Linked DNA regions of Daphnia pulex. The protein of the gene in region 1 purifies or fractionates together with the protein of each later gene. This does not show direct contact. Links are inferred from orthologs where the notes say so. Each region holds a gene or a part of one and is shown on either strand. Other genes may lie near its edges. The genes, in order: cdc42 homolog and formin-binding protein 1-like.

Region 1 (15,120 bases):
GGAGTTCCCAATACGACATTGTAGATGTTCCTGCATTAATGAAGCTCGTCAATCATATTGGGAAAGAAAATATTTTCGTCGATGTGCCCAGTGGTCTGAGTTGCGAGATCCAACATTTTGAGGAATAGAGCCATCAGCCATCCTATTATCAATTTATCAGCTATAAACTGTGACTCGAATGCGAATCACTATATATATTTTAGATCTGAAATAAACGGTTATTAAATTACTTTAAAATAGGCCTACTAAGCGGAAATAGGATTAACAAAACACAGTGTCAATCAGTTATCATTTCTTTGAATTATTGGAACTAATTTGTAAGTTATTATTTTTGTTCTTAAACTATAAAAATTATGTCTTGAGTTTCCCACAGTAGAACTCTAAAGACATAAGATCCTTTTTTTAAAAAATATTATTTAAAATACCCGACAATAGAACTCCAGTGCCCGACAATAGAACTCCACTCGATTTTTAAAACCAACGCGCAATCGAAGCGTACCGAAAAACCGTCAAAAATCAACCATTTTGTCACTTTATCAGTTGACGGTTGGTCTAGATTTAATTTTTTTTTATAAAAAAAAATATGGACGTTATTCAACCTATAAGTAAACCGAAATAGATTCGATCCAAAAATCACAATACGAAAATAAAAAAAAGTGCGGTTCTTAAATCGATGAAAAGATGCATATATTATTAGTTAGTTTTTATAGTTTAGACTGGATGGGTATATACTCATTCCGGCGGTAACTCATTCCTTATCGTTGATAACAGGTGGCTAAATTCTCTAGAATTCATTGGGGGTAAGGAAATTCACTTTGTCATTGTCTCCTCTCTTGTTTAGCCGCTGAAGAATTTAAAGTAGAAATCAATTGAAGAAATTGTGTACACAGACCTTTTCAAGAATGTCTTCATTTTTTCTCGATTTTTGAGCACTTATTGATTTTTTTAGCCCAACAGTGTCGAAATTTGGAACATTACGAACAGTAAGCATTTTTCTAATCCATATATGTTGTTGCCACCTTTTGATGCCATTGTAAGTTTCTGACAGCAGCCTGTCAGAGCGTTTTTATGTAATAGCCTTTGTATGAATCCTAAAAACTAGTGATAACTCATAACTGAAACAAACTGAAGCGAGAAAGAGTTTCGTAATCCCTAATTTAATACCCCCATATTATTCTTAAAATGACTTTTCCTGGTTTAAGAAAAAAACTAAAGTATTTTTTTATATTTTTTTATTATTATTATTTAATCCAGTTAGCGTTTTTGTCACTAGAGGACATTATTCATTAACGTGGTGTAATTTTTTTATCAACTTTAAATCTCTTCTTTATTAGGATATCATGACGGAAAGAGTGTGCTATAGTGGCCTTCTATCCCGAGTTGATAAGGTGAAACTAAGCTCTAACCACTGACATAAGACTCTCCTGTTAACTTGGCAAGCGATTGGTACACGCATTTATACAAAAGCGGTACTTTTTTCAAGTGCCAAAAGCCGCTATTTTTCCAAGCAACATTAGATTAAATTTGTTCCTTATTTTCCATAGAAGTTTTGGTATTTCGTATTTTTTTATTTATAGCTTTAATACCGCAACGGTTATACTAAATGTCTAAATCATTCTTTCTTAATTCTTAGTAAGTAATGCATTGATCATCGGCAACCAATTTCAGTCAAAAGCGTTTTGATCAAACACATTTCAATGTGCTTTTTTCCTTTTAAATAACGTTCAAGTTTCTTTTTCCTTGTGCGCGTCAACAAGATTTGGCTAGAAGAACGTAAACTTCTAGACTATTGGTTATACTGCTGTCATATTGATACTGTAATTGACCATGCGATATACGCTGACTCTCTTATTCTGATATTTGGACGAGAACGGCGATATTTTCCCAGCGTCTGTCTGCCCGAACAAAATACGTTTAAATTTTTGTGTTAAAGAGTGACGGCCACAGTCTAGAAGTAACACTAAACCTCTTGAAAAGATTCGCCAAATGCGGAACAGGAATCGTTTAAGGACATGCGATTCATTTGTGAATGAAAAAAACATATTAGTAAATAAATGAATGAATCACAGTAGCATAATAATATTAAGCTAATCCTACATTAATTTTGACAAACCGATCCGAGGAGAGAATATCCTTTATTTTCTGTATTTCTTGTTGTCCAAGTCGAAATTGGAAAACATGTTATTATGTAGTGTTACATTACATAAAAATATTGCGTATTTAGAAACGAATTTCGAATTTTCAAGAAAATGTATCAATTCCCTGCCGTGTTGGAGCCCGAAGCGAACAAATTCAAGGCCACTGAACAGAGCTAGGCGCCGTGATACGAGTCGTGGCTCTGAGCAGATTAGCAGAGAGGAGTTTATTATGATGGCGACGAAACGAGAAGCGTCAAAGAGGCGGTTCTTCTTCCGTGTGTCCAGGCGACCAAGGAGGACTCCTCAGTCCTCAAGGCTATAAAATGAAGCATTTAAAAAAAGCCTTTCAAGGGCGTAAATACTGGGGGGAAGAAAGAGCTATATATTAGGTTCGCAGTTCTTGCGTTGTAATAGTCAGTTGAAAATTAAAATCCGAGGGATAGAGAACACGAAGCGTACAGCGATTCACTGGAAATACTTAAAAGTAAGAGTGGTTTACATGTCCAATTGCGGATGCCCCATTTGAACGATCGGTGCAAGTTCACTAACCTTCACGTTTTGTTCACGTGTTACAGTACGTACTGAACTTTGAGAGCATCTATCTTCTTGCTGGTTTGTTTTTGTTCCTAATAAAATTATTTTCTAGCGTTGAAACTTGAAACACAATCCAGTGCGTGTTCGCTGTCTAGCCTATTATTGAAGACATTTTAAAAATAAACTTTTAACTCTGGGTACGATGCTGAGTTTGTGTTAAAAGATATGGCGAACAGTGAATGTTTTCTAACAAATCATGTTTGTTTTACATGTTTGGTTTGCCAATAGGGAATTACTGCCCTTTTTTCACTACACCAAACTGTTGGAATACTAATGTATTTTCTTTTTTATTGCAATTTTATTAGGTTTCAAAGGATTTCATCAAGTTAATTTTTGTCCTCGGTTGTTTGACACAACTCTGTTGCTTTCGCCGAGGCATTTGGAAATTTTAAATCATGTTTGACGAAGTAAATGGACTGATGCGCCTCCGCGCTCTCGTTGACGGTACCAAATGTTTATCAGTTAGTTCATGAACTCTTCGTGTCCCCGACTAAACCAGGATGTTATTATACGTTACAGAATCGACTTTGGAACACCCGATAAAGGAGGAGCTCCTTCTCTGCTTCCTTCGCGCGCGAAAATACAACGTAGATCGAGCCTTCAAATCTGTTAGAATTTGACTTTCTTTACAGACTGAATTCATTTTTAACTAATATTCCTTCTTGATTGACAGCTCAAGAATTATCTCAAAATGGTGAAGAACTATCCTGAACTTTTCACCAATTTGTCCGCATTCAAATTGCGTTTTCAGCTGAAGGAACAATTGCAACTCGTTTATAAATCCAGGGATAAGCAAGGCCGTCGTATCTTTATTTTCCGAGCAGGTATAACAAATCTTGACGTTTTCAATCACAAGTGTTACAAAATCTTGACTAACGTAGGGCGATGGAATCCGAAGGAATGCTCCCTAGATGACATATTCCGCTGTAACTTATTTTGCCTCCAACAGCTCGCTTCAAATCTTGACTCTCAGATAAACGGGATTGTGGCCATTGTTGATCTCGAAAACCTCGGTCTGCACCAAGCAAGGCACTTTACGCCGAGCTATGCCAAGAAAATTGCTGATTTATTAATAGTACGAATTTTCTTGACTATTTGAGAAATTTGCAAATCAAGTGAGGAATCGCTGAATTCCAATTCGTGCAGAACTACATGCTATGTAAAATTTGTCGTTTCTGAAGTCGAATTCTTGATGAGAAACGTACGAACTTGAAAAGCAGATTTGCAAATCTTTAATTATTCATTTTTGTTTTTATAATTTTTTTTATTACAGGAAACATTTCCCATAAGCTTTCAAATTATCCATATTGTTAATCAAAATTGGATTGTTCACACCCTTATGTCCATTATTTGGCCTTTCCTGTCAGCTAAAATCCAAAAACGGGTAATATCGGTTTTATTGCGGTCTAAATCTTTTATTTACATTTTTTTTTACATTTTCTTTAAATAAAGATGCTATATCACGGATCTTGCTGGGCTTCCTTGCACGAATACGTAGACGTTGCGGATTTGCCAGAAGATTACGGCGGTTTTCGAGAGCGGCTGGATTGCTCAAAACTGCCTGACACAAAAGTCTCCATTGAAGAAACTTGCAATTTATTCAACTTGAACTAACACTGTGATTTAAATCTTCCATAAAAGTCAAATATCCCCCCCCCCCCTCCTTTTTTTATTGAAAATGTAAACTGAATTGATGTAAGCAAATAAACGAATGGGTCTTGAAACTTATTAAAATAAGGCAGCGTAAGCAACTTTTGAAGACCGCATATTATATTTTAAAAAGGCACGAGTTTTGACATTTCCTTCATTTAACAGCAGCATGTATAAAGGTCAAACGAAAGAGCATACACGCGCTGCATGTGTACTCTATGTAGATCAACCCTCTCCAGAGATAGACAGCCGGTTGCTCGAAATTATTTGGGTCAGTTATTGCCAAAGACCCGGATCAGTTTTTTTTTCCACAATACATTAACTGAAGATATCACTCGTAGTTCATTAGTCAATCGACAGCAGTCCTTATACTCCGACCTGCTACTGTCCGACAGTCAAACAGTTCAGAAAATCGTAAGTGAGAAAATATTGATGCTTTTTTATTTTGAAATAAGCGCGCTAAGTTAAAAAGTTAATTTTGAAATTTAATTTAGTAGTAAACTCTTTTTCATTTAATTAACTGCCAAAATTGTGTGACTTTATTACTCAATATCTTCCGCCTGCAGTAAATCCCACCCGCAAACACCGGTAGTCTGACTATATTCGTGCGTGCCTGCATTAAAACAACAATTTCCGTGTGATAGGTGATCGATCTGCAACTAATAACAAAAATGAGCAACATAAATGAAAATAAAATGGAAAACAACAATGAGCTCTTACTCAAATTCGGCTCACTCATCAAGGGTAAATTCGTTTGTAATAAGTTGCTTCGTTTTCTTCACTAATTCTCTGCTTTCCACAGAATCCGACATTAATTTCCAGATACCTGATGAACTGATGCTGTGTTTTATTTATGCGCGCAAACGCGACGTGCAACGCGCCATGAAGTTGGTAAAAAATTCTAAATGATGACACTATCCTCCAATGAATTTAAAATTAACTATTTCATTTGCTAAAAAGTTAAAGAATTATTTGAGAGTGATGAAAAACTATCCGGAGCTTTTTACTGATTTGCGGAGTGAACGCGTGAAACACGTTTTAGATTTAGGCCATCTTCTAGCGTCTCCCATTCGCGATCAAAACGGATCCCGTGTCTTCATAATAAATGCCCGTAAATTCCACCAAGAATGTCTTCGTTTTAACTATGAAAGTTAAGAGAGTAACTTTACTTTGTAGGTAATTGGGATGTTCGTCGTTGCAGTTTAGAGGACGTCTACAGTGCTGTTGTGTTCTGTTTTCAAATGATGGTGTCTGAAATTGAAACTCAGTCAAAAGGAGTAGTGGGCATCATGGATTTCCAAGATTTCGCACTTCACCAGATAAGACACTTCACGCCATCTTTCCTTAAGAAAGTGGCCGATCTCATACAGGTAGATCCCCAGCCCTATATATAATATTCAAAATAATGTCTGTCAATAATATTGTAGGACGTGTTTCCCATTCGTTTGAAAGGAATTCATATCGTTAATGAACCTCGGATCATGAAGATTCTTGTGGCTATGATATGGCCTTTCTTATCAAACAAAATTCGTAATCGGGTTAGTTGTTTTTGTATGCACTTGTAGTTATCACCTTTCACTGTTGTAGACTATGCATCTAATGTCAGTTATTTGATTTTATCCCGAAGCTGTTTTTCCATGGTTCGTGCTTCAAAACATTGCATCACCACGTTGATCCCTCTTGTCTACCAAGCAATTACGATGGTTGTTTGGGGCCGATGAGTTCTATGCATTTCTCCAGCGTATTCTTTGAAGAGGATTACTACTCCAACATATTCGAATGTTTAAATTAAAAATAAGCTTGCTGCTTAATACGTATCAAATTCTATGAAAAAAGTAAAATTAATATATTTGGTTAAAATCACGGATTTATAATCTAAATTTTTATGCTTGCCTTGATTGATGATGATCATATCTTTTGTTGCTAAAAATTGTTGCTAAATAAATATAAATCACAATTATTTTCAACGGATTTTCCGATGTCTTTATAAATTCCGAGAAGAATTTGCATAAAAATTCAGCCGGTTATTGAAAAAAATTTACTTAAGTTGTAATATACAGTAAAAATAAAAACCTTTGGGGAGAGTAGTTAAAAAAAAATTCATTTCGCTGTCGCTGAACGACAGCTTATCAAAAACATGTGATAAAGTTCTATATTAGTTCATACCAACCAGGACTTTTAAAATTGAACTCGTTTTTCGTTTGTAGTAGATTAAAAACTGCTGATACACAAATAAATGACGTCAATGAGCAAATGAGTTGCTAACCAACCGGCAAAACTATTTATCAATGTATGATATGCGCAAGTGCCATACGCAATCTTACTTTCACATCTGTTCCAGCGATCCTAAGCGTCAAAAGTCAAATTCAATCAAATGTTTTACTTATATTAATAAAAATAGTAGCAGATTAGCCATAACATTGCGACGACGCAATCGTCCAATGTAGCGACAATTCTGAACTGACCAGCATTAATAACTGCAAGGTATAAGAGAAAATTTTATTGTATATTCTCTCCTATGCCATACAGACAAGTTTTGCGATGAGGATTACAATGATGAGGCCAAAGTTCTTTTGTTATGCTTACTTCTTTTTTTATGAACAAAGAAAGAGAGGAGAAAGGAAGGAGAGCAACAGAACAGGTATGTGTTATTTCCTAGATCGAGAAGGTAGAGGATGAATGAAAAGAAGATTGGAAGAGCGCGGCAAATGGCCTGCGAAACACGCGCACGCACACACAAAATAATCGAAACGATAATGACACGTTGAAACTGGTTAATGCAAGAACTGGCAAAAAGAACGTATCATCAGTATTTTGCTTTTCCATCTTCTCGTTGAATAATTCCATTGGTTAGTAGCAAGGTGTCATTTAAGAGTGTTTTTTTTTAGCTCTCCTTATTTTATATAAAGGAAATTTTATTTTGCCTGTTTTGCTGTCAATTTGTCTTGCTCACAGAATATTACACCTCCTCTTTTTGATAGGCTCAGGAGGTTCCAGTGCTGCCAAAATGGCTTCGTCAAAGACGTTCTTCAACCCTTTCTGCGAGAGACATAATCCAACAACCATGTTACCTATTTGCGACTATGGAGAAACAGAATTTGCTCGACTTACCTGAGTGAGGGCAGAGCACTCCACGTATTTCACTGCTTTCAGTTCGCGAGCTAGCTTCTCTCCCTGGTCGATAGTGATCACTCTTTGCTTATTTTTTGCCAACTTCTCTACAGTTGCCGCGTCGTCTCGCAGATCGATCTGCGTTCCAACTAACAAGAAAGGTGTCTTCTGACAGTGGTGTGTAATTTCAGGAACCCACTACAAAACAGGAGTGCATTAGTTTGCAGTTTTTTAATGATTGAGCTACTAATATTAACCTTTTCTTTGACATTTTCAAATGACGACGGTGAGACAACAGAAAAACACACCAAGAACACATCAGTCTGTGGATAACTAAGTGGTCTTAATCTGTCATAATCTTCTTGACCTGTTGTCATAAAATTAAGGAAATATTGTTAAGTAACAATGAAAAAAAATATATATAAATGAAGTAGAAAGGAATTCACACCTGCTGTATCAAACAACCCAAGAGTGTAAGGTTCACCTCCAATCATAACAGTGACAGCATAATTGTCAAATACCTAAAAAATGTCAAATAGCTGTTAGAAATAACATCTTGAGAGAGTATCACATGATAGCTTACTGTTGGAACATATTCTGACGGGAACTTGTTGGTGGTGTAAGAAATCAGAAGACAAGTTTTACCCACTGCACCATCCCCCACAACAACACACTTGATGGTCTGCATTGCTCCTTCCTGTCAGACTCTAAAATGAAAGGGAATAGATAACATTAATGAAATGGCTTACACAAAATTAGCAGATCACAACGAGATAAGCGGGCGAAACGAAACTATTCGACAGCCATTTTGATAGATAGGACGCTGGGCGAAAACACACACATAAAAGTGGAGTAAGACTTTGGTTTAAACCGGTCAATGAATAGAACCTCAAATCACTTTATTCACTTACGATCAATATCTTGAAATGTAGTATCAGCACAATTTGCTGAAAAATATTTAATATCCAAAAAAAAGCGGTTGTGGAAGTGACACTTGGAGAATATCAAGGCGTGAACGTCCCTGGTGCAACGTTGCCACTTGTCAGAAAATATTTCAGGACGCCACCGCTTCAACCGCAAGCAGAGCTATAGATACCTGGTCAGTTCATGGCTGTGTTGGCTTCCCTATCCCGGTTTCAGGGTAAACGTAAGCCGATTTTCAGGGGGTTTTAGGGCGGAGCCTGTCAGAAGTTGTGAAGTGGAAACTTTAAAAAGAGCCATCTAGTGATAAGACGTTGAGTTTCAAATAATACTTTCGGCGGCCATTTTTGTGTATTACGTGAAAGAAGCCTAACCATAATTTATGTAAAAATGGTTGGCAGGTGTGCTGTTCCTGGTTGTAAATCAACATATTACAAAGGAAATCAAAAAGAAAATGAGGTTACCCTGTTTGCAATTCCTAAAACTTCATTATCAAAATGGCAAGAAGTAATTCCATGTAGTAATTTGACGAGCACCTCACATATTTGCTCCCGTCATTTTAACGAAAGTGACTTTCAAACAGGGATTGAAATTTTGAACGTGTTCCATCCTTACAAACGGTGGACTCTTAATGCTGGAGCAATGCCCTGGAAACCAAAATTTTCTGTTAAATGTTAAAACCACCAAAGCTGTCCAATCATTGCATTATTTCTTGCCAAAGCTGCAGCCATCGTTCAAGATCCTTCTCACCCAATGTACCGTGCAATCAATAACTTTCTACTGGTATGTTCCTGTTAATTGATTGCAATTTCCTTCTCGTTTAAAACTTAAACGCCATTCCTTTCATTGTTTCTAGGTAAAATCGGCTATGGATGTTACCCAAGTTCCAGAATTTTTCGTCATGCTTCATAACACTGAACTACCTGAACAGAGGTCGCTTCAAAGGAGTTTTTTACTCAGCCTTCTTCAAGATGGCATCAAAAGTCGTCAGGACTATTTAGTGTGTGCTCGAAGAAGAGTCTTTCCAATCCTTCTCTCCTTGCAGCCATCCAATCTATTGTCCGACAAAACTGATAAGGTTATTTTTTTAGTAATTGAATTTTAGTTTGAGATTTCATCGAGACATTTTTCTTTGTTTGATTTACAGCGGCTCATACTTGAAGTCGTACAATCTTCACTTCAGAATTCAATCATTACCTATGACTTGATTCAACATCGTGGCCTTATCATGTGGCTTGACAGCCTCTTGCTGACCGACACCGTTGCAGATGAAGCTAGTCAGATGGTGTCGGTGGTGACGACAATGTGGGACACGCTCTACACTCACATGCTGAAGAAGGGAGAGTCGAAAGAAAAGGACGACGAAGAAGCTATTGCAAAACTTGAACAGGAGGTCGAAATGATGGAAGCCGAAGACGAAGATACCGCCGACAAAACCACTAACAAACCCAAGATGCAGAATGCTAAAATCAGTAGCAGAAAACCTATTTGGAATTTACTTCCTATGCAGCAACAAGTTATTGCTCCCTGGATCATGTGTGAGCTAATGCAGTTGATGGTCAATTTGTGGCATGTACTCTATGAAGCTGAGCCAAACTATGCTACGTTTAACAAATACGCCCGAGTATTATGCTCCGTCGCTTCACACATTCACGAATCCAAAAGCATCATTTAAGCAGCTCAGGAGAAGGATTTGAAGACCGTCCGGTTTGTTACCCCTCCCTGCATGCTGAATGTTAAATTGATGCGACAGCTCGTTGAAGTCTCATCCCGCTTTGTGAGTAATCTTCCCAATCTAAAGGATCATTTGGCAGTAGTTGAAAGTTCCAAAAAGAAATCCTCGGCTTGCCCAACAGAACTTAGTCGAAACTGGGAACGAAGACACAGGTATATGCGAGAACTTATGGACCAAGAAGAGACGAATGTTTCAACCAGATATAATGTGCACAAATTATTGTCTTTAGCTGAATGTGGTGTTTGAAATAACAATGACAATTTTGTTTGCATACAAGGAGAACCTCGTGATACGATTTCTTTTATTTTTCATATCCACTACAGCATATCTTTGCCATTTGATGTACATATTTCTTTCCCACTATAACGCAGCCAACTTAAAATTTCTAGACGGGTTGTTTAAGGAGAGTGGTGTAACGTTCAATCTTTGATGCCAAACTCATGTCGATGTAGCGATCTCCAAGGACAACTACAAGTCCTCAACAATGGAGGGATCCACCTTGGTTGAAATCTTGAGAGACTGTCCTTTCTGCAAGAATCCAGAAAGAGCGGCAGTAACCTCTTTCAATGTAGCAGCATCCAAGGCCTTGATATAAGAATAGATTTTTTTAAACATTTAATTGTTTAATGTTTTTTAGATTTATATTTTACCTCGGCTGAGGTGGCCTCACATACAACTTCACCTCTGAATGCAGCTATCATGTTAAAGAAATGGCCAGTGACAACATCCAATTTGTTAAGTCTTCCATTCTCAGCAAGGAGTTCTGTAATCATAAACATATGAATAACAATTAGAATAAAGTGAAAACCAATAGAAAAGAAAAACTTACCAAGGAAGTTGCCTGTAACAGCACTCATTTTCAATTTCTTGGCAACTGAAATAAGAGCATCTTTCTTAAGTGATCTCTTCAAAGTGGGGTTGGCAATGAATTCTGCCAAACGAGAATCTTTGGCGATAGTTGCATGAAAGTCCTTCAACTCGCTCTCAACTTTGTCCAAAGATTTCTGTTTGGAAGCAGCAGAGTAGAGTGCTGAGGCATAGCGACCTTACAACCCAAAAACTTGGACTGGAGCCTATAACAATTACACAATTAGGTTAAATGTACCTGTACCACACTCACATGATTTACCTTCACCAACTGCTGGGATGATGAACTGGTGCTGAAGTTACGAGCCTAATAGTTGGAAAGTAAAAACATTCATTGAAAATAGTACAACATTTTATAAATTACGGCAAATTAATTTAGGATTGTGCGAAAACAACCGGCTATTCAAAATCGAATATAAATTCGGCTTGAAACTTAGAGGTTTGACAGTTGGATATTTCTACCTTTTTATTATTGTTCACTTCTTGTAGAAAAGTAAGCTGTGATTGGCCAATGAGTTTTTCATAGACCCTTCCTGATTGGCTGGCTTCACGTAGTAGCTGACACACTCACTAGAGGCGCTTTTTAAAGTTTCCAAATCGGCTTACGTTTACCCTGAAACCGGGATAGGGAAGCCAACACAGCCATGAACTGACCAGGTGTCTATAGCTCTGACCGCAAGCGACAAGCCACAAAAAAAAAACATGGGAAAAATGCGACTATGCGAGCGTGTGTGACCATCTGAGACCACCAATTTCATTAAATTGAATCGTTTATCGCCGTTTTCTTTTTTCCCTTACAACTTTTTGATCAAATATCAATTGTCTCGAATTTGTGGCTTCAAGCATTTTTAAATCGTATTCGAAAGAGCAGGTATATTTGTTTTCGCTTTTTATTGTTTGTAAAATTTTCTTTTTTTAAATCATTTTTTATTCCGAATTTATGGGAAGAACGTACTAAGATGGTGTCCGGGTGTTGTTGCAATTATGAGTCATCTTAAGGTTACGGTTCAGTTTGCGAAACTTTGATGAAATAGAAATACCGGAGACATTTTGTTTTATTTATTTTTTTGTATTCTAATTTCAGGAATCCTGTTTTATTTTAAAGAAAAAAAATAATGAATAGCAGTAAACCATATTTTCCCAGCTGCCTGTATATTTTCTATTAAAAATACACTCTGAATTATTTCAACACTATTTTGTACCTCATTTGCAGAATTTTTACCGGATGGTGCAGGGAAAAGTGCTGATTGATAAACCATAAAAAAAAAACATTCAGAACAAACTATTTTAAATTTTTCGAATAAATCAAAACAAAAAAAAATCATTTCCATTTACGTTTTTCTTGTAAATTTGTAGGTAGCAGTAATTTGTTTGAAAACCCACCAATTAAAAAAAAATGAACGACAATTCGGGAGGGGAAAAAAACAGAGATGAGAAAAGAGGTCATCGGGGGTGAACACAATGAGATGGGGGATTATCATTCTTCTACTAATTAATTATAAAATCTCAAATTACGTTCAATTCATTGGCTACGGTCCATGTGTGTCGCTGATAGGCGACGATCCGTGCAAGTGTCACCGAGTGAAGATACAGTCCAAGGGTCTCTACCGGACCAATAGCGTCGAAATCAAATTGGGTGCACCAGTGCTTGCTATCCAAATAGGAACAAATCGTGTTTCACGTGTGTTTGTGTCGGATCATCATGCTGACGTGTCAGTGATGTCTCTTGGGTGTGTGTGTACTTGCGTGTGTCTGTGTGTGTATTGCTGGACGGGAAAACAAACAAAAAAAAAAAAAAATGGAAGAGAGAAACTGCACTAAATTAATAGAAGAGAAAGTTAAAACAAAAAACCGGGCCGTAGATTGGGAGTGAAGAAACAAACCAAAAAAAAATCAAAAATCAAATAAAGGGAGGGGTCGGTTGATTCGTGATCAGCCTATTCAACTATCTAGCAATATTATGTCTGATGACTTTTTTACGTAACAGAGAGCAGCAGTTCACAGTCATCAGTCATATATTCAAACGGAAATTCAACTGGACGGGGTGACGACGATAATAGCGGCAGAGTTTGGCGACAAAGTCGGTGACTTGTTGTCCGTGTGGATGGTCACCTCGCATGAGAGAACTCCAGCGTTGCCTTCGCTGCTGGGCGCCCCGGCGCTGCTATTGCTGGCGCCGCTGCTGCTGTGGCTGCCGGCCTCGCTGGCCGCATCAGCCTCGTCTTTGACCGAGCTCTCCGCAAGCTCCTCATCAGCGATGGTTTCTTTCGAGTTGGCGAGATCGTCTTCCTCCTCAGCTTCCTCTGGACTGGATTCGATGGCGCTTTCTTCTTCGTCGTCTTCCTCGATTTCGTGGTGTCGGGCTTTCTTATTCATTGGCGACTCGTCGTGGTCGGAAGAGCTGCTGCCGGACGGCGATTGGGCCGGCGAGTGGACGGGAGATTGAGCCCCCATCATGCCCAGGCGGCTGTTGAGAATCGGCGAAATGTTGTGGTGCAAATCCGGGATGGCCGCCCGTCGGTGCTGCTGCTGCTGCTGCTGGTGATGATGCTGGGCGGCGGCGACGGCGGCCAAGTCGGCGTAATAAAATCCTGCGGCCGGCGGCCTCAAGAGTTGGACGCCAGATGGCCTGGCGCCGGCTGCGGCCGTCATTCCGGCCGCACGACTTCGCTTACGATCTTCGTCCAGAATGGTGGGCCCGTCCGATTCGTGCTTCTTCAAATGTCGGTCCAAATTGGTTTGTTGCCCGAAACAGCGGTCGCACAGCGGACACCTGCCGTCAGAGAAACGAAATAGACGATGAGTCAAGGTGAATGAGAATATAGACGAGAACATGCCAACAACATTTCCTGTCGATATCATTTCACCCTTTCAAGGCAATGTTACAGAAGAGAGAAAACCAAAACAAAAAACAACATGCGCAGAATAATAAAGAGCGTGATAATAAAGTGTGATATTATTTTTATTTGACAGAACAGCGAGTTTGATAGCGATGTATATTGTATACGCAATGTCGAGGAGTGATGTATATAGCGTTGGGATAGCGGAGAGGACCCGCATGACGACATCATTGAACCGCAAATAAATAACCAAAAAGAGTTGAGAAATCAAATAGGAAAAGAGAAAAAAGAAGGGGCGCTGAAAGGAGGAGTATTTCGAATGAGTATGGCGAATAGTCGCGACAGACAAGGACACGGGCGATGTGCTCGATGGCCGTGATCGCTCACGTTCGACGGTGGCGGATCAGCCGCAGCCAGGAATGACGACTGCTGGCTGACCAGAGAGAGCGGAACGGCCCGTTCAAATAAGTCGAATTGCGCGCGACAAGCACTTTCCATTCAGCGCTATGCGATCTATCGATTGACTTCTTTCTTCTTCTTCTTCTTCTTCGACTTTTTATTGTTTCGAAGCCATTTTTTCTTTGTCTTCCTTCTCTCGAGTTATCGGCCTATCTTGTATATATACCTCCCTTTCCTTTTTTTCTTTTATTTCTATATTCTATCTGATTTCGACATTCCCAAAATTGCCACCTACCACCCAAAGCGATGAGAGCTCCGACGAAGCATGACCGCGCCGATTTTCGGTGTTTTGTTTCTTTTCTATTTCGTTTCCTTTTTCTTTTTATGTGTATCTGCTGTCTGACGCTGTTTGGTTATATGGCGAACGTACACATAGAATCTCGATCAGCAATTCAAGTAGGTCAGTATGCAGCATGATCCTATTCGACTACGAAACGTAAAAAAATAAAAGAAAAGAAGAAAAAAGAATCGTTGCGCAGCTTTTGCCTTGGTCTTCAGGGCGGTTCCTATACGCTGGCGTGTCGTGATCACACACCCTTCGCTACATCTGCCTTGTATACGTATAGATATACGTTTTTTTTATTATTATTCATTTATATTTTTTTTTTTGCTAACCAATCCAGTTCGCTCCTCTTTTGGTCACGCGTTCAAAATACTTTTTCTTCTTCATCTTCTTCTTCCTCTTCTCTTTTTTTTTCGAAATTTTTGCCCCTTTTGTTCGCTCTCTACTCATATTTAAAATTCAGATTTTCTGTGTCTGGTTTTATTTTTTTGAAAATGCGCTCAAGTTTTCCTGGCCGCCAGT
Region 2 (15,408 bases), on another chromosome or scaffold:
AAAAGCGTGTGGTGAAAGGGGGAGAAAAAACGTGCAAGGGTTTGGATGAGGCATGCTGGCGGCTAAACTGTTCGATTGGAATCATTTCAGTCGCAGGGAACGGTGTGTCGCGCAAGCGGGGGGCAAACGAAGAACAGAAAAAAATTTTTGTTTAGAATCAGAGATACTTACGATAATGGATTAGTGCACTTGAAACGTGTGGCGTGCTACAATCAATACGAATGGCAACGTCTCCACGCTCAGCATCCGTATTGGCAGAACGATAAAAGAAATGATAACAAAACAAGGGTGAGATGGGATGATCAGAAAAATTAAAAAAAAAAACAAAAAAAAAAAACAAAAAAAAACACGAGAAATCAACTAAAACAAGAATCGATTATTTGAGATTATCGCAAAAAATCTCCATCAAACGGGTTCCATTGTTAATCGGGACGCTTGGTTCTATTCAATTTCTTTTAGAATAAACAAGGGGGTAAGATGCTGCTATTGATAATGACGTTACCTTTCCAGCGTTGAATATGCTAAAGATGCCGGCGCGTTTTTTGAGTTTCATGGCGGTTAACGTGCCACCTTTCGATTCGGACTTGAGGATGCCACTCGAGGTCAAGCTGATGGTCGAATGAATGGCGCCACTGCCGCCACCATTGCTCGACGAGTCCGAGCCGACGCTGCCGCTTCGCATATTACTCAGGTCTTCGAAAGGCACGTCTTCCGGTGGCGAAAACCCGGATTTGTACCGTTCAATAACCAGCCGCGAGTCCTGACCATAAAAATGACCAAAAAATATCAAACATAAAAAATCAACAAACAAAAAAGGGGGCGTAAATAAAATAAAAATCAAACAATCAGGTCACCTTTTCCGGATCGACGTTGTCGGCGGCTCGGACAATTCCGTCCAAACATTTATTAATTATGGGAAAGACACTGCGCTCTATATCCACACCTTTCCTTATGAAATTCTCGACCTGTTTAATTCTTTTGTCGTCTAACTCCTGAAGGGTGTGGAATACACCTGGAAGGGCCGTCTGCAAAAAGAAAAAAAGGAAAAAAAAACGTCAACATTATTTCGATCAATAAATTAGAAACGCACTAAAAAGCACAGGCCAGATTTTTTTTTCTTTTTAAACTATTATTACGTACACGCCATGTTGACGTTAATGCAACATCTGCCGAGACAGCTCCTCCCAACCACAGCGAGGGAGCACAAATAATGACAGCATCACAATCATTTTAGCGCACTTATTACCATCCGGGATGGTCCCGAAACCTCGTTGGCTGATAATCAGGACAAGCTCGCCAAAAACGGTTTGACGTTTTTCCTTATTTTAGTCTTATTTCATTTTTTGTTTTTGTTTTTTGTTTAAAAAAGATGAAAAACAAAAAGCCGTTGGTTTCCCACGCACCTGATAATGACACGTCTGAAGCTCGTTGGCTTTCTGGAGTTGCTTGGCGTACTCGTTTTTGTTGTCATCGCACTGGTGACTTTTGATGGACGAGTTGATGCGCTGCTTTTCGACGTCGGCCCGCGAGAGGTTCAGATCGGCATCGGCTTTGCGGTACGCGTCCTCGGCCCGCTCCGCTTCCCGGAAAGCTTTTTCGTAGTTTTTCTGCGCTCGATCCAGCGCCGACAACTGCTGGTTCAACGAAGACTGCAATTTCGCACCTTCCTGTAGGGCCTATCAAACAATTCAAAAATAATCAAATCAAATCAAATCAAATAATGAAGTCATCATGAAACAAATTATGCGCCGCAAACCGATGAAGCCCATCCACAACTTTCATTCAATTGAAAAAATAAGAACCTAATTTCAAAAAGGAGATGGAAAGTAAAACGTCGAGTCTCAAGGTTGCCATCGAATTTTGAAAGTGTGACACACCCTTAGGCTATTATTACCCAAACAAAAGTCTGTTGGCTGTTCAGCTTCTTTCCATTTTGGACGTTGGTATTAAAGTAATGGATATATATCTGTTTGATATTAATTTATTTCTCTTTGTTTGCGTTACGTGGGGAGGAGAGAAAAAAGAAAAAAATTGGCTGCAACGCCAAAGGCCAAAAGCTACTGCTGGAAGAAGAAAAGTGGATTGAATGGGACACGCACGCCCGCACTAAAGTTGGATAACCACCACCCAACGAAAACAAGACAATGCCTTCAAACCGCTTGATGATAATCACAACTTTCCAAGTCTACATGCCCTTGAAGCACAACGTGTATGTGTGTGTGTGTTTGTTTCAAGTTGCGGCTATCCACGTTCAAGCATGAGAAGGGATACCGTCGAATTCCGTCGTTGCTACTTCCCCACTACTCGCAAGCCACTAACGAACAAACTTGTTAATAAAAACGATTTAAAAACTTGGAAACCATTTCCGCTTTTTTTGAGCCGCAGAAAAGTTTGTCTTTTTGGTTGGGGTTAATTTCAAACCGTGATGGAAGATGCTGGACCTATCCAAATGCTAGACGATTACGAAGAGAGTCATAGACAGGACGTTGAATATACCTTTTTGCGTTCTTCTTTCAAGTCTTTGACGAGAGCCACAATCTCTTTGGTGACGGCAGAGGTCAGGTTTTCGGCTACCACTTCATGTTGGCCGGCTTGATCGTTGACCTCGGTCAGGACATCACGAAAGGCTTTCTGGCACGAAAATCTGTTGATGAAAAATGGAAATTAGATCTATTATGCCACACGTTCAAATTCAAAGTCGATGCCGGGCCCGAGCTGCGGCAAAAAAAAAAAAAAAAAAGGCACAGCTGGTTCACCATGGACGTTCGGTGCGCCGCATGGGAACCCATTACGAGTCGTTCGGATACGGTGAGATGGATACGAGAAAAACACAACATGAACAAATTTCAAAATAAAAATGACGACGCACCAGACGAAAGAAAAAGCAATCGAGAGGAGAGAAGCAACAAGAGAGAGAGAAGAAAAATCTCATTCCCAGGCTCATCGTGCACACGCACGCTCGAGTCCATTACGAAAAGGAGGAAAACAAATAAAAACGCGAGATGCTCACACGGCCATATCTCTCGCCAATCGGAAATAACAAATAACTCGTTTTTCTCGTTCTCCCTCAACCCGACTGCGAAATAGGTGCAGTTTGAGTTGCAACAGCAGCAGCAGCTAATCGCACATTAGCTTGATGATGATAGGAATTAGCTGCTGGCCGTCATATTTCCCTTTAAGGATCGTTAAAGGCTAATCATCTGGGATTGTGGGTTTGTCACCTATTGGACATTCTGACGGAATGACTCAGCAGATGGTCGCCATGCCTTATTGTCGTTATCCTCCCCTGACGACCCAGAAAGAGAGAAGCTAGAGAGAAGAGCCATAGGATGTTGGTGGGTCTGATTAGATTTTCAGCGACAACTTCCCTCGAGTGCGGAGATAGCAGCCGAGGAAGCGCACGAATTGCGAATCAGATTCAACAGTATAATCTGAGAAACGCAATGGAGCGAGACGGTAGATAGGGAATTGTGGAGCAACACGACATAGCCCCCTTTTCAGTGCGTGACTGAGTAATTCTTCCTCCGACAGAGCGACAGGAAAAACAAAAAAACACACAAAAAACACGAAAAAAAAATCCAGGGGCTTCGTCTTTGCTTAACAAGATTGTCTATAGAATATCAACCCTTGAAGCAACACTAGCGCGAATAGGATTCGAAAATCTTCTGAGCTCTTTTCTAAAATAAAAATGAAATTTATTTTATTAGCCTGATTCTCTCTCTCTCTCTCTCCTTTTTGATCCATTTTGCGGCGACCTATATGGAGAAGTGAAAGGTCAACCGTCATTTGAAGGCAAAGAAAAACACACGCGCAAGTAACGAGGGATAATACAGAAGGAAGACTCTAACGCAGTCTACAATCATGGGGCCAACCCCTCCCGCCCTAAATTTCGTCTGTTTATTTGAAAAGTCTTTCTCGTTTCCGTTTTTTTAAACTTGACAAAAGTAATAACTTGAGTTTTTATCTATCCCACAAATGATTTCTTAAAAAAAAACCCATTTCAAACTCATAATGTTGTCCGTGACGATTAGTGGTTAATCTTATCTAGCCCACAGTTGAACCAGAAAAACCCATTTGATAATGTTGTCCGTGGTGATTAGTGGTTAATCTTAAAATGTTCATCTATTTGCTTGGTCGATATAAAAATTAAGAAACAATAACTGGAGAATAAGGTTCTTGGATTACAAAAGGTCGAAGTGTACAGAAAGAAAAGGTGTGAACATTGGTGACAAGTGGGTGGGCTGAGAGGATGCCCCAATATTCTACGGTTACCGTCTGAATTTTTTTCTACATAGTTCACCGAGTGTTCCCTGAAGCCAGACAAAAAAATTCACTTCAGTTGATTGGAGCTCATTTTTGGACTTCGTTCGTTATCCCCGACTAGAAAAAAAGCGTTGGGTTATGACCGGAATGGACCACCAGCCTAGTCTCACCCCTTTTCTCCCCCCAACAAAACAAAACTAAACAAACGGAGGACTAGTTTTCAAACTGTTAAAGAAACTCACTGAACCGTTATGTTTCGTGCACCTGATCAACAACTCGTTTGATACTCGTCTTCCTTGTCTCGTCTCCCATCAACCTGCATTCTTCCCAAGTCCGAGTATGTGAGTAATGAGCTGAAGGTGGAAGGAATGCTCGTGATCAAGATAAAAAATAAAAAAAAACAAATACAAAAATCCGACTCGAATGGAAACAACTACAATCATGGAATCATTTCATTTTTCCAGGAACGGAGGCGTCCTTTTCACGTTCCCAGGGTTGCAGTACTTGACGGGGAAGCTACGTTGTTTGATTGGATTGCTGTTTTACTATGCAAGGGTGGGGATGGTCGGCTGAAAAAGAAGGGGGGAGGGGGTGACGTCACCATACGATGAGTCATTGCTAGTTACAAGCCGGTAAGGAAAATAAAAAATCGATAGTTCGTATCCAAGGTTGAAGGCTGTACACAGTTGTTCCCTGGTCAGGTGAAGAACTTGCCTAGATCCGGCAGTTGGCCATTTAACAGATTTCTGAAGAAAAACAGGCAAGGTCAGCCAGTTTGTCCTCTTGTGAATATAACGGGAAGAAATATTCGAGTTTAGTGGGTCGGGCCGTTTAGGTATTCCAGCACGGATCTTTTCCTTTTATTACCAATGGGCGACGCTTTTATTGTGCAACATGGCGAGTCAGAACAGAAAGAGGGAAAAAAAATATTGCTACACAGTATGTAACACCGGCCGGCCCTGTCTGCTCAATAGATAAATTTTATGAATCTGTTCACAGTATATACTCATTGTACGGGATAGGTTACACCTCAGCACGTATGTGATATGCGTCGAGAGAATAGCCGAATCACTGAACTACAACAAGGAAATGGGTCGTTTCCCAACATCGTCTCTGAAACGATTTTAAATGATCTCTCGAATATCGCTCGAATAGCTCGAGGCGTTGAGCATACTGAAACCCAAAAGGGCATGCCAGCGGCACCTTATCCCGACTATTAATTTTATTTTATTTTTTCTTAAAGAAAAAGTTTCCACTTACTGATAGTCTTCTTCCTCCTTTTTCTTCGGCATGTACGACTTCACCAACCGCCTGGACAAACACAAAAGTTAATGAAATATATATTGATATATATAAAAAGGAAATTCAAATCGATAATTTATTATACCTCAGTTTTCCGGCGTACTCGGATTCGATTGCGCACCGATCCCGGATAAAGTTCCCATATCGCTCCAGAAAGTCAATGCCCTTTTGGGTGTGGGCAGCTACGTTGTCGTATTGGTCCTAAAACAATATCAACGACACACATATCAAAAGCCGTTATCTGATTGCACCGGTGACCGATTCGATCAGTGCATGTCGTTAATGCGACCCATCTAAGAAGTTCAACATTCAAAACGATCTTATCACCTTTGATATAAAGTCAAGAACGAAGATTGTCAATCAAATTGCAACAATGGACGAAAAAAATGGACGCCGATCACGCACGTTTCTACGAAGATGTTTAGAAGAGGGAGAAGCTTAGCCAGAAATAAAACAGGAACCTATCTTGTTACGTACAAGCAAGAGAGAGAGAGAAAGAGAGGACAGTTCAGCTCACGAATCACATGACTCAAGCTGAAGACGTCACAATCTTTGGCTGCTGCAACAGCCACCCCCTCAAACAGATTTAGAACAAGCCAGAATAGCAAAAAAGAGAAATGTGAACGAAGCGGAAGAAGATTAGAAGCACAGCTAGACGTGAGTTGGAAGATAAATTCCACGCGATGAAGACGAAATACCCGTGCAATCCGAAAAGGTAAATGAATGACAACAAAAGACTTTGTGGGATTTCAAAACAAGAAGTCATTCCAGGAATGGGGGGGAAACGATCTATTAACAGAAAATAAAATGCATTTGAACAACCGACTACGATTTGATGGAGATCCCGTCTCTCATGTCTTAAACCGGATGGCAACAAGGACACTCGGACAGAGAAAATGAATGTAGAAAATAATTATTTTAGCGAAAATATTTGATGCCAGGATATTAAAACACCAACATTCGACAAAATATAATCTACTGCGATTCATTTGATCACCGATCGATTCGACTAGTTATCGTACACAGGAAACTGACGTGTGCAACCAGAGAAATATGATTTACGTTTTTGCTTAGCAATGGACGGAAATGGACGGAAAAATCAAAATTCTAACGCGGTGTAAAAGGAAATTTAATAATAATTAAGTGCCAGAAGTTGACGGCAATCTATTGAAACATTCTCAACAGTATCCGGTGTGTCGTTCTCAAATAAAATTTCTTGTTAAAAAAAACGAAAAAAAGGACATTTGAGTTTGAACCCTGACAAATGATTCAATTGAAGAATTTTACAGAAATATTTTTCAAGAACTCTATAAAGCAGTAATATTTTCCTATCAGAAGAATTTCGTTATAATTAAGCAAGCTAAAAAATTCGTTCGAGTAACCAAATTTCAAGTCTGATTACACCATGCCAGGCTAGTTGCAACAACTCGTTCGATTGACAAACTTCAAACAAAGTAAGTATTTGTAGTAAAATGAAATGAAATTTACGCTAGGTTTCTCGACCCTATACACCAATCACATGGTGATGGCAATTGTTAGTCTTGATTGTTGTAAAAAGAAACTGAAAATAGTAGAATGCAAACGCTGTAAGCTAGGGATGGGTCGTCTTGTTGACTGCTAGGCTACTGTGGATTTGGGGTGTGTTACGATATGATTAGATTTCAGTTGAAACTGAAATACAACTTACCCAAAGTTCGATTCCCCAACTCATTTTTTTTCAGAATGCTCGTATCCGACTTATCCAATTATTTTCCAAGTTGACATTGCAGGTAAAACATTCAAAATTTCGACACGAGTTTCAAGCACACACACCAACTTAATATGCTGACCAACATACACTTCTGCTGCTAACGCCACTTCGACCAAAACTTTTCTCTTACTCATCGGCCATACCAATTCGACCTGCCGCCTGGTGAGAAAGTCGGAAGGCAATAGTCAAATGAAAAAAAGTTTTCCTGTTTACCTCAGCCATCTACCGTCAAAAGATACAGTATAACCGTATATATTTTTTTAAATCTCCTAAATTGAAATATTTTAATCCCAACTGCCTATAGCTAACAACTATACAGCTATACTTGCAATATACTTGCAATAACGTAAGTTATTCACTTCATTATATTGAGAAATCGCCGGTGACAACTGATAAGAACATCGGGCTAATCTTAGGGATAGGGAGGGAAGCAGATCTTAAAATGTCACCATAAAAAGTATGCATGTTTATTGTTTAACTACAATAAATATGCATAATAAATATTTTGCTTTAACCTTTTTTTCGCGATAACTTCAGCTTGTCAGTTTCAACGGTTTCAATATCCCCGCTCAATATCTGGCAAGTTTAGCTACGTTTAGGCTACTTGACGTTTTGGTGATATTTTTTGTTTCATTTTGTTGTTAACATTAAAATTTGTCATTTTAGTCAAATTGAAAACAGTATTTATTCCTTGTGTTTTTAGATTAAAACTTTCCTATAATACTAAGAGAAGAGTGTAAAAAGTCTCCAATTTGGCAATTTCGCTCGATCTTTGTATATCTGTCAAAAAAGACAAACACGCCAAGTCTAGCAGACTGAAACGTAGAAAAAAAAATACGTTAAATAGGATTTTTTTTACGTTACTTTACAGTTTACAGGACAGCTTTTTAACTAGTCTCTGCTCTCTGGTGGACATGACTTCCAAAGGAAATCCTCACCCATTTGTTTATTGGGCCCAAAATACTTCACACGTTTTGTTACGTGTTGATCTGAAAGACGTACAGGTAATTAATATTCTTGATTCCTTAGCTGTTTACTGCGTCTGCATGGCCACTGCGATCAAACAATGTCGACAAACCACCTTTTGTTACTATTCTTATTTTTCTTTTTGCTTTCCTTGATGCCATGGTATGAAGGAACCTGATGTACAGGTTAATGAAAACCATATAAAGTTTGTAGCAACTGGTGTGGGTGCCAGAGGAACACAACTTTATGAGTTTGAATTGGAATTAGGGGCTAATATAGTCCCTGTGGTATGGAAGCTATTATTATTTTTTATTTAACTGCACATTATTCTAGCTTTAATTTGATCTTGTTATCATCCTAGTCTAGTCAGTATAGAGTTACTGCCCGGCAGATTGATATTAGTTTGAAAAAACAGAATGATGGATGGTGGCCAAAGCTTACTGGATCTAGTTTGAAACCCACTTGGCTTAAGGTATTACTTTAAAAACAGTATTTACAACCAATGGAAATTTCTGTTAAAAAAACATTTTATTTTAAGATTGATTTTGATAAATGGAGATCTGAAGATGATGATGAAGCAGGATTGGATATTTCTTCAAGCAAGTTGGATGAGCTTGATAGTGAAAATGTTGTTGCTGATCACATGAGTTTTAATTTAGAAAACTTAAGGAAGACATACTTGTTTGTCTATAATTTATGGCAATTTGTTGGATTTACATACATATTTTCCATGCTGGTGTTCAAATATTCAACACTGGGTTATGGTAAGTTCTTTTTTTTATTTCTGTGTAGAGTGTACAGTGTTCATGGATGTATTTATGCAAATTATGCTCTTTAGTCCTTATTGTTATTTGGGAAAGTTTATCAAAAAGATCCTAGATCTAGTTTGCATGAAAAGTGTAAATAAAGTAACAAAAGAAAGAGCGCAATGTATAAATATTTCCCTTATGTACTCCACTGCACCTGCACTATCCCTTCGCGGTAAAGACAATTCAAACATTAATTCTTTTTTTCTTCTAGATTTTATACCAGTTGCATACCAATCTGTTCATTACCCTCTCAAATTTTGTCAACTCATGCAAGCATTAGAGATTTTTCATCCCTTATTTGGCTATACTAAAGGAAGTGTTATGGAGCCCACAGTGCAAGTTGGTGGAAGATCCATTATACTATTCTGCTTGATTGAAGCTGAAAGCAGAATTCAAGATAAACCAGTCATTTTCTACTTGATACTATGTTGGTCAATCATCGAGCTTTTCAGGTAATGCGTTGAAATTTTTAAATTTTGCGAGAAACTACGGATTCTGATGAAGTTATGTTGATATAGATATCCTTACTACATGATGAGAGTATACGACAAAGATTTCGGCATAATCACTTGGTTGCGATACACAGTTTGGATACCTCTTTACCCGCTTGGCTTCTTATGTGAAGGAATTGTTATATTGCGGTACGTAGCGACTTTCAAAAATTCTATGTGTTTATTCACATTGTTTTCTCAACTTTCAGAAACATTCCATTCTTCGAGGAAACCGGAAAGTTCTCCGTAGGCTTGCCGAACAAGTGGAATTTCTCATTTCATTTCCCTACATTAATGAGGATGTATCTTTTGTTTTTCTTTCTACCCGCCATGTATACCATGATGTCGTACATGTCAAAACAGCGTCAAAAGAAGCTACAAGTAAGGGGTGACTCAATCCCCTCTAGTAAAATAAAAGTTAATTAAATAATCAAGACTTTTTGTCTGTAAAAGTAAATAATCTGCAAATAAATTGTGTTGTAGTGCTTGGTATTTGAAAAGCAGAATTAATACAATTGGTAATTCATATCATTATTAACATTCCGAAATTTTGGCACAATAACAATTTAAACAGCGGAATGACATTCAAATTCTCTCCAAAATCTACTTGTCAATAAGACAATGGATTTCTTTTAAACTATAAAGATGAAAATGAAATAGGTGCTTATAATAGAAAATAAAAGAAACTTGATTTGAACTTGCAGAACGAAAATTTAAAAAAATTGCGCGTTCTTTACGTTGCAATTAAAAATGACACACCAGCTACAGCGGGTGGTTTGGAAATTTACGAATCAGTGTCACCCGCAAGTTGGTAATGCTGTCTTCTGATAGCCGACAATCGGACACGTTCTTTTTCCAGCAAAGACTCGAACTCCAAAAATTTTATCTGTGACTCCATTTCTAATCGTTTGGCTTGATGCAGTGTCAAATGTGCGAAGTCCAGAACCGCTGAATAGTAGAATAAAAATTGGTTAATTATGGCCATTTGGTATTATCACAAAATTTTTAATTAAAATTTACTCGATTCTTCGACAAGTTCTGCACAATGTTTAGCTGTCGCAACCACCCCTCCAGTAGCCAACGAAACAGCTTTAGACGATTCAGCCAATGCTTGGAGGTTTTTACTTTGTAGTTCTGCTTTAACGCGACTTGCAAACACCAGCTGAGCCGTGGAGGCGGCGATTTCTTGGGATGCCACTGTTAGTTGTTCGAATTTAGCTTGCCCTTTAACCACATTGTCTGCTGCGTCTCTGTTGAAATTATTATACTGTTTAAAAAATTACTTGAACAACCTTTTTTTTTAAATCTTCCTACGTTAACAGCTTCGCTCCGAAACCAACGGCCTTAGCTGCCGACAGCAGACCTTCAGTCCAACGATGATTTCGTTTGTAGAAATCTCTTGCAGTAGCAGATCCTGCGTACGAACAAAAATGAACGTTTAGTTTTAGAATAGCCATTTAGTGTCGTGTTCCAGTTCAACCTTTTCCACGCGCAACTATTTCTTCTTGAAGGACTTTAGCTTTTTTGATTAAATCAACGATTGCCTTCATCAATGCGGTACATGAATCCAGAACCTTTTCGCTCACTTCCAATTTAACTCCAGTGTGGGATTGTTTAGAACTATCCCATAGTTTTGCGATTCGCGCAGCTGCCTCTTCTATAGCTCGTTCCATAGCTCCTAATTCAGACTCGAGTTCTTCGCCGACGTTATGTTCAACGTTGGCTTTCAATGATTCAGTTACAGCAATAACTAGTTTATCTAAATCTCGAAGAGCATTTTCAACCTGTTTAAATCACACAAATTAATTGAATAATAATAAAAAAATACAATAGCAAAAATATCTAAAATGAGTACCAAATTTGAATTCGAATTGATTTCTTCATTCTGGAAAGGCTGCTGAAGAATTCGGAAAAATAGAATGGTTATCTTTCCTGCCGCAACACACTTCTTTAGCATCTCATCAACTTTTTCAATATCAGTTAGACTGTGGGCCAGCTGCTGTCCATGAAGCAATACAAAACCGATCGATTGGGCAAAGGGGAATATTAAGGGTACTATGCGGGATGCGACATCGTCACTTTTGTTGCTTGAACAATATGCATTCAACGACTCGGATAGCGTTTTCAACAAACATAAGGCTCCTTTAATAGTGAATCCACTATGATCTATAAGAGAAGTGAAAGGGTTTAACTTTTAAAATTACATATAGTGATTTCCAATTTGCGAAGCTATGCTGTGCAAACGGTAAAAACCTTACCTTGAAGATTTAAAGCAAGAACGGGAGGTTTTGCCAAGTCTAATACACATTTTTCCAAATATTGCTCTCCCTTTAAAGAGCAATCAACTGATCGATTTCAGACAAACATAGGAAACAAATTAAATCAATAAATATGGATGCTAATAAGTATTTTCATTAGAATTCAGTTTAGTACTTAGAAGCTGATGGAATAGATTCATCGCTTCAAGTTTGCTAGCTTCAAGCATTGATTTGTAATGAGCAGTCAATGAATCATTCTGCTGTAGCAGCTTTCGGGTTTCCTCCTGCAAATTATTTTTTTCGCCATCAATATGTTGCAATTGTTGTTCTAACTTGGCGACACTTTCCTGTCACACATAACAAGACATATTAGGCAATATAAAAACATGTCTTGCCAAATTTACCAAAGTACAACAGAACATACCTTCATTTGGGCACCATATTTTCTCAACTGTTCGCTTTCGTCGGTCAATTCCTTGATATTGTTTTCTTTTGCAATTTTGAAATTATTGAATTCTTCCTCCAACTTCTTACCACTCGCAATCGATTGCTCTAATGCTTCGTTCAACTCCAGAGACTTTTGTTTACTATGATCCAACTCGTTTTTCAACTCAATAGTAGACGTTGTTAGTATTTGTCGCTCTCCTTGAAGATCATTAATCTGTTTTGTCATGGCTTGATTATACTGTTCAAGATCTTCATACTTTTCCTAAAAACAGAAAAATAATAATTCGGCAAAATGGCCAAATATGCGAATGAAAGGAAAATCAAACATACCTTCATTTCTGTACCGTTTTTTCTTAATTGTTCTCTTTCGTCCGTTATTTCCTTGATACTGTTTTCTTTAGCAACTTTGAAATTATTGAATTCTTCCTCCAACTTCTTACCACATTCAATTGATTGCTCTAATGCTTCATTCAATTCCAGAGACTTATGTTTTCTATGATCTAACTCATTTTTCAAGTCAGTAGTAGACGTTGCTAATATTTGCCGCTCTTCTTGAAGATCATTTATTTGTTTTGTCATGGCTTGATTATGCTGTTCAAGTTCTTCATACTTTTCCTAAAAAAAAGACATAAAAATTATCAGACAAAAATTAGATAACCGACACGCGAGAGATGGTTTATCATTAGTAGCGCTTCTACAGAACAAACTTTCATTTTTAATCTAACCTGCAAGTTATTTTTAATAATCAACAAATCTTCCTTTTCTTTTGTCATCTGCTGAATTGTTACATCTTGAGCAGTTTTAAATGCAGCAAATTCTACTTCACCATTTGTTGCGCTCGCCTTTAACGTCTCAAAATTTGCATGCATCTCCTCTTGTTCTTTGGTTTTCAGTTCTAAAGTAGCGCTCAGCTGATCTACTTCTAGCAACAGTTTAGCTTTTTCCTCTTGAATTTGAACAAGCTGATCTTCCACTTCCGTAATTTTAAGTTCAGTCGCTGATATCAATGTCTAATGATAAAATAAAAAACGCACTACGGCATTAGATTACGATTCAATAAACAAGAAAGGCATATTTACATTTAATTTGTTGTTAGCCTCTTGAAGCTCAATTTTTTCATCACCAAGTAACTGGATCTTCGCAACTTCGGCTGTTTTAAGCATATTAAGCTCATTTTCTGCATCTTTCAGACTAGTCTTAGATAACTCGAGTGAATCTTGGAGTTCACACTGAATTTTGTTGCTTTGTTCGAGGGAAGTATTGGCAGCTGAAAGCTTCTTGTCTACTTCAGCTTTTTGACGCAGCAATTTGATGTGCTCATCGCGCAATTTTTGATACACATCTTTCAATTTCACAAATTTGTCTTCCCATCCTTTTGCTCTTTTTCCCATTTCCTAAATAATTTTGTTGTAAAAATATATGTATATAATATTCCTTTAACAAAGAAAATTTCTATAAATTACATCTAACTGTAATTGGACGACTGATCCCATCTGTGCCGATTGGGCTGCATCACTTAGTTTCCGTTCGATATCTTCCTTGTCCTTCAATGCTTCTTCTATTTCGTTTTCTTTTTCGGACATGCGCAATTCTAAATTAAGTATTTCTTGTCGTAGAATTCCATTCTCTTGATTATACTCGGCACGAACTTTCCTCAACTCCGCTGATAACTGTTCCAGTTGATGTAGAAGATGTTCTATATAGCGATCTCTAAGAAATATATATATAGTACATTCTCAATTTTTAAATTGATTTTTCTATAACCATAAAAAATCTGAAACCTTTCTAGCAATAAATCAGGAGAATAGTCATTTCTTTCCGGTATTTCCGATTCCAACTGAACTAGTGTTTCGTCTACCTGCGGCGGCGGAAGGGCTTCGTTTGGTAGTATTACAACTGGTGTGACGTGACGACTTAACTCGCTGGATATCAAAAAATTTGGCGGACTCTATATATTCGAAAGATGACAAGTATTTTTTTTGTTTCTTAACATTTTAAAAATGATATAAGACGTAAATGTTTCAAGACAAATTTACCTCATCCAAGTGTGGTACTTGGATTAATGTTTTGAAATATTGGAGTGTACTGGATTGTAAGTAAAACTGCCGCAAAGCCTTGAATTGCTTTAGAAATCTGATACGGTGGCCTTCCAATGTTTCGGGTGGTAGACCTAGACAATACAATTAATTAAAGCTTATACTTTTAAGCAACAATTAATGTTCGCATACAATTGTGCAGTTTAAAAAGAAGCTTCACGATGAAATCATAAACTTGGGAAGAATCTTGTATGCATGGAATAAGAGGAGCCAGCCGACATTGCCCCGCATTCGTCATAGAATTGGATCGCGACATATCCAAAGAACCAAATACTATAGGGAAAAAATATACTTTAAAAGGGGAAGTTCTTATACACATCAACAAAAGTAAGCACATAGTCATTACCAGCTGCTTGTAGGGTAAGAATCTCATCCATATAGTCCAGCAACTCAACTGATAACTGAAAACTAAGCAACATAAATATACTGAATTACGAAAACAATAAGCCTTGGGAAAATATGGATATTAACGAATTGCCAAAATTGTCTTCTTTCAAATTTTCCCTCTACTAGTACTTTTACCCTACACGAAGGATAATACAAATATTTATTACTACACAAACTTACTATAAGTTAATGTCATGTTCACAAACAACATCAATTCCCTCATCTTTGATCATCAAATTCCCCGGGAATTTTGGATTCCTTCGATGAAAGTCGAGCTTTACCACGAGAAGTCGACAGTACAAATTGATCAACTTCCCATATCCATCTTTAAGAAGTCCCTTAAATTCCACGAGAAAGAAAAACAGCATTAATAAAACTGAAATAACACATATTAGCACATTTTTATTTGGAAAACAACTGACCCATAATTTTCCCTTGTCCACTAAAAATTCTCTGTGTTGCTGTGAATCTTTCTGTAAAAATCAATGTTAATACTAACTTTTAGTTCACCAAATAATGTATACAACTTACCAGGACATTTGGATGTCCCTCACGCAAAATTTTGTGTAAAGTATGGCAGAATTTCCATGCAACAATTGGATTTGAATGAATGGGTAGTCTCAGAACAATGGACCAAAA

The links.
Region 2: the proteins of cdc42 homolog (region 1) and formin-binding protein 1-like purify together in Drosophila melanogaster (affinity purification with western blotting; 4 studies listed by BioGRID). This does not show direct contact. The link is inferred for Daphnia pulex from reciprocal best matches to the Drosophila melanogaster genes Cdc42 and Cip4.

What each region holds. Positions count from the first base shown.
Region 1 is NC_060017.1:3,177,343-3,192,462, forward strand, and holds cdc42 homolog, read right to left. Parts: upstream 8,560-15,120; 5' UTR 8,405-8,559; intron 8,201-8,404; 5' UTR 8,182-8,200; coding exon 8,077-8,181; intron 8,015-8,076; coding exon 7,942-8,014; intron 7,861-7,941; coding exon 7,751-7,860; intron 7,692-7,750; coding exon 7,494-7,691; intron 7,422-7,493; coding exon 7,332-7,421; 3' UTR 6,868-7,331; downstream 1-6,867. Other genes in the region: uncharacterized protein LOC124207561, read left to right, coding at 1-128; alpha-tocopherol transfer protein-like, read left to right, coding at 3,128-3,176, 3,252-3,340, 3,406-3,556, 3,614-3,807, 4,006-4,116, 4,185-4,346; alpha-tocopherol transfer protein-like, read left to right, coding at 5,054-5,126, 5,185-5,273, 5,343-5,493, 5,559-5,752, 5,810-5,920, 6,010-6,174; nucleolar pre-ribosomal-associated protein 1-like, read left to right, coding at 9,168-9,197, 9,271-9,492, 9,562-10,089; histone-lysine N-methyltransferase PRDM16-like, read right to left, coding at 13,048-13,789. UniProt on the Drosophila melanogaster protein: Regulates mbt kinase activity and is also required to recruit mbt to adherens junctions. Together with mbt and Frl, regulates photoreceptor cell morphogenesis. Together with Frl, has a role in the neuronal development of mushroom bodies.
Region 2 is NC_060028.1:4,801,272-4,816,679, forward strand, and holds the start of formin-binding protein 1-like, read right to left. Parts: upstream 7,460-15,408; 5' UTR 7,277-7,459; coding exon 7,253-7,276; intron 6,047-7,252; exon of another isoform or gene 5,893-6,046; intron 5,767-5,892; coding exon 5,651-5,766; intron 5,575-5,650; coding exon 5,524-5,574; intron 2,645-5,523; coding exon 2,497-2,644; intron 1,677-2,496; coding exon 1,404-1,676; intron 1,026-1,403; coding exon 855-1,025; intron 761-854; coding exon 503-760; intron 1-502. Other genes in the region: very-long-chain (3R)-3-hydroxyacyl-CoA dehydratase-like, read left to right, coding at 7,505-7,555, 7,620-7,661, 8,194-8,319, 8,452-8,568, 8,643-8,753, 8,820-9,045, 9,302-9,542, 9,609-9,731 and 1 more; huntingtin-interacting protein 1-like, read right to left, coding at 10,366-10,529, 10,602-10,831, 10,896-10,995, 11,062-11,365, 11,437-11,747, 11,840-11,926, 12,015-12,186, 12,264-12,548 and 11 more.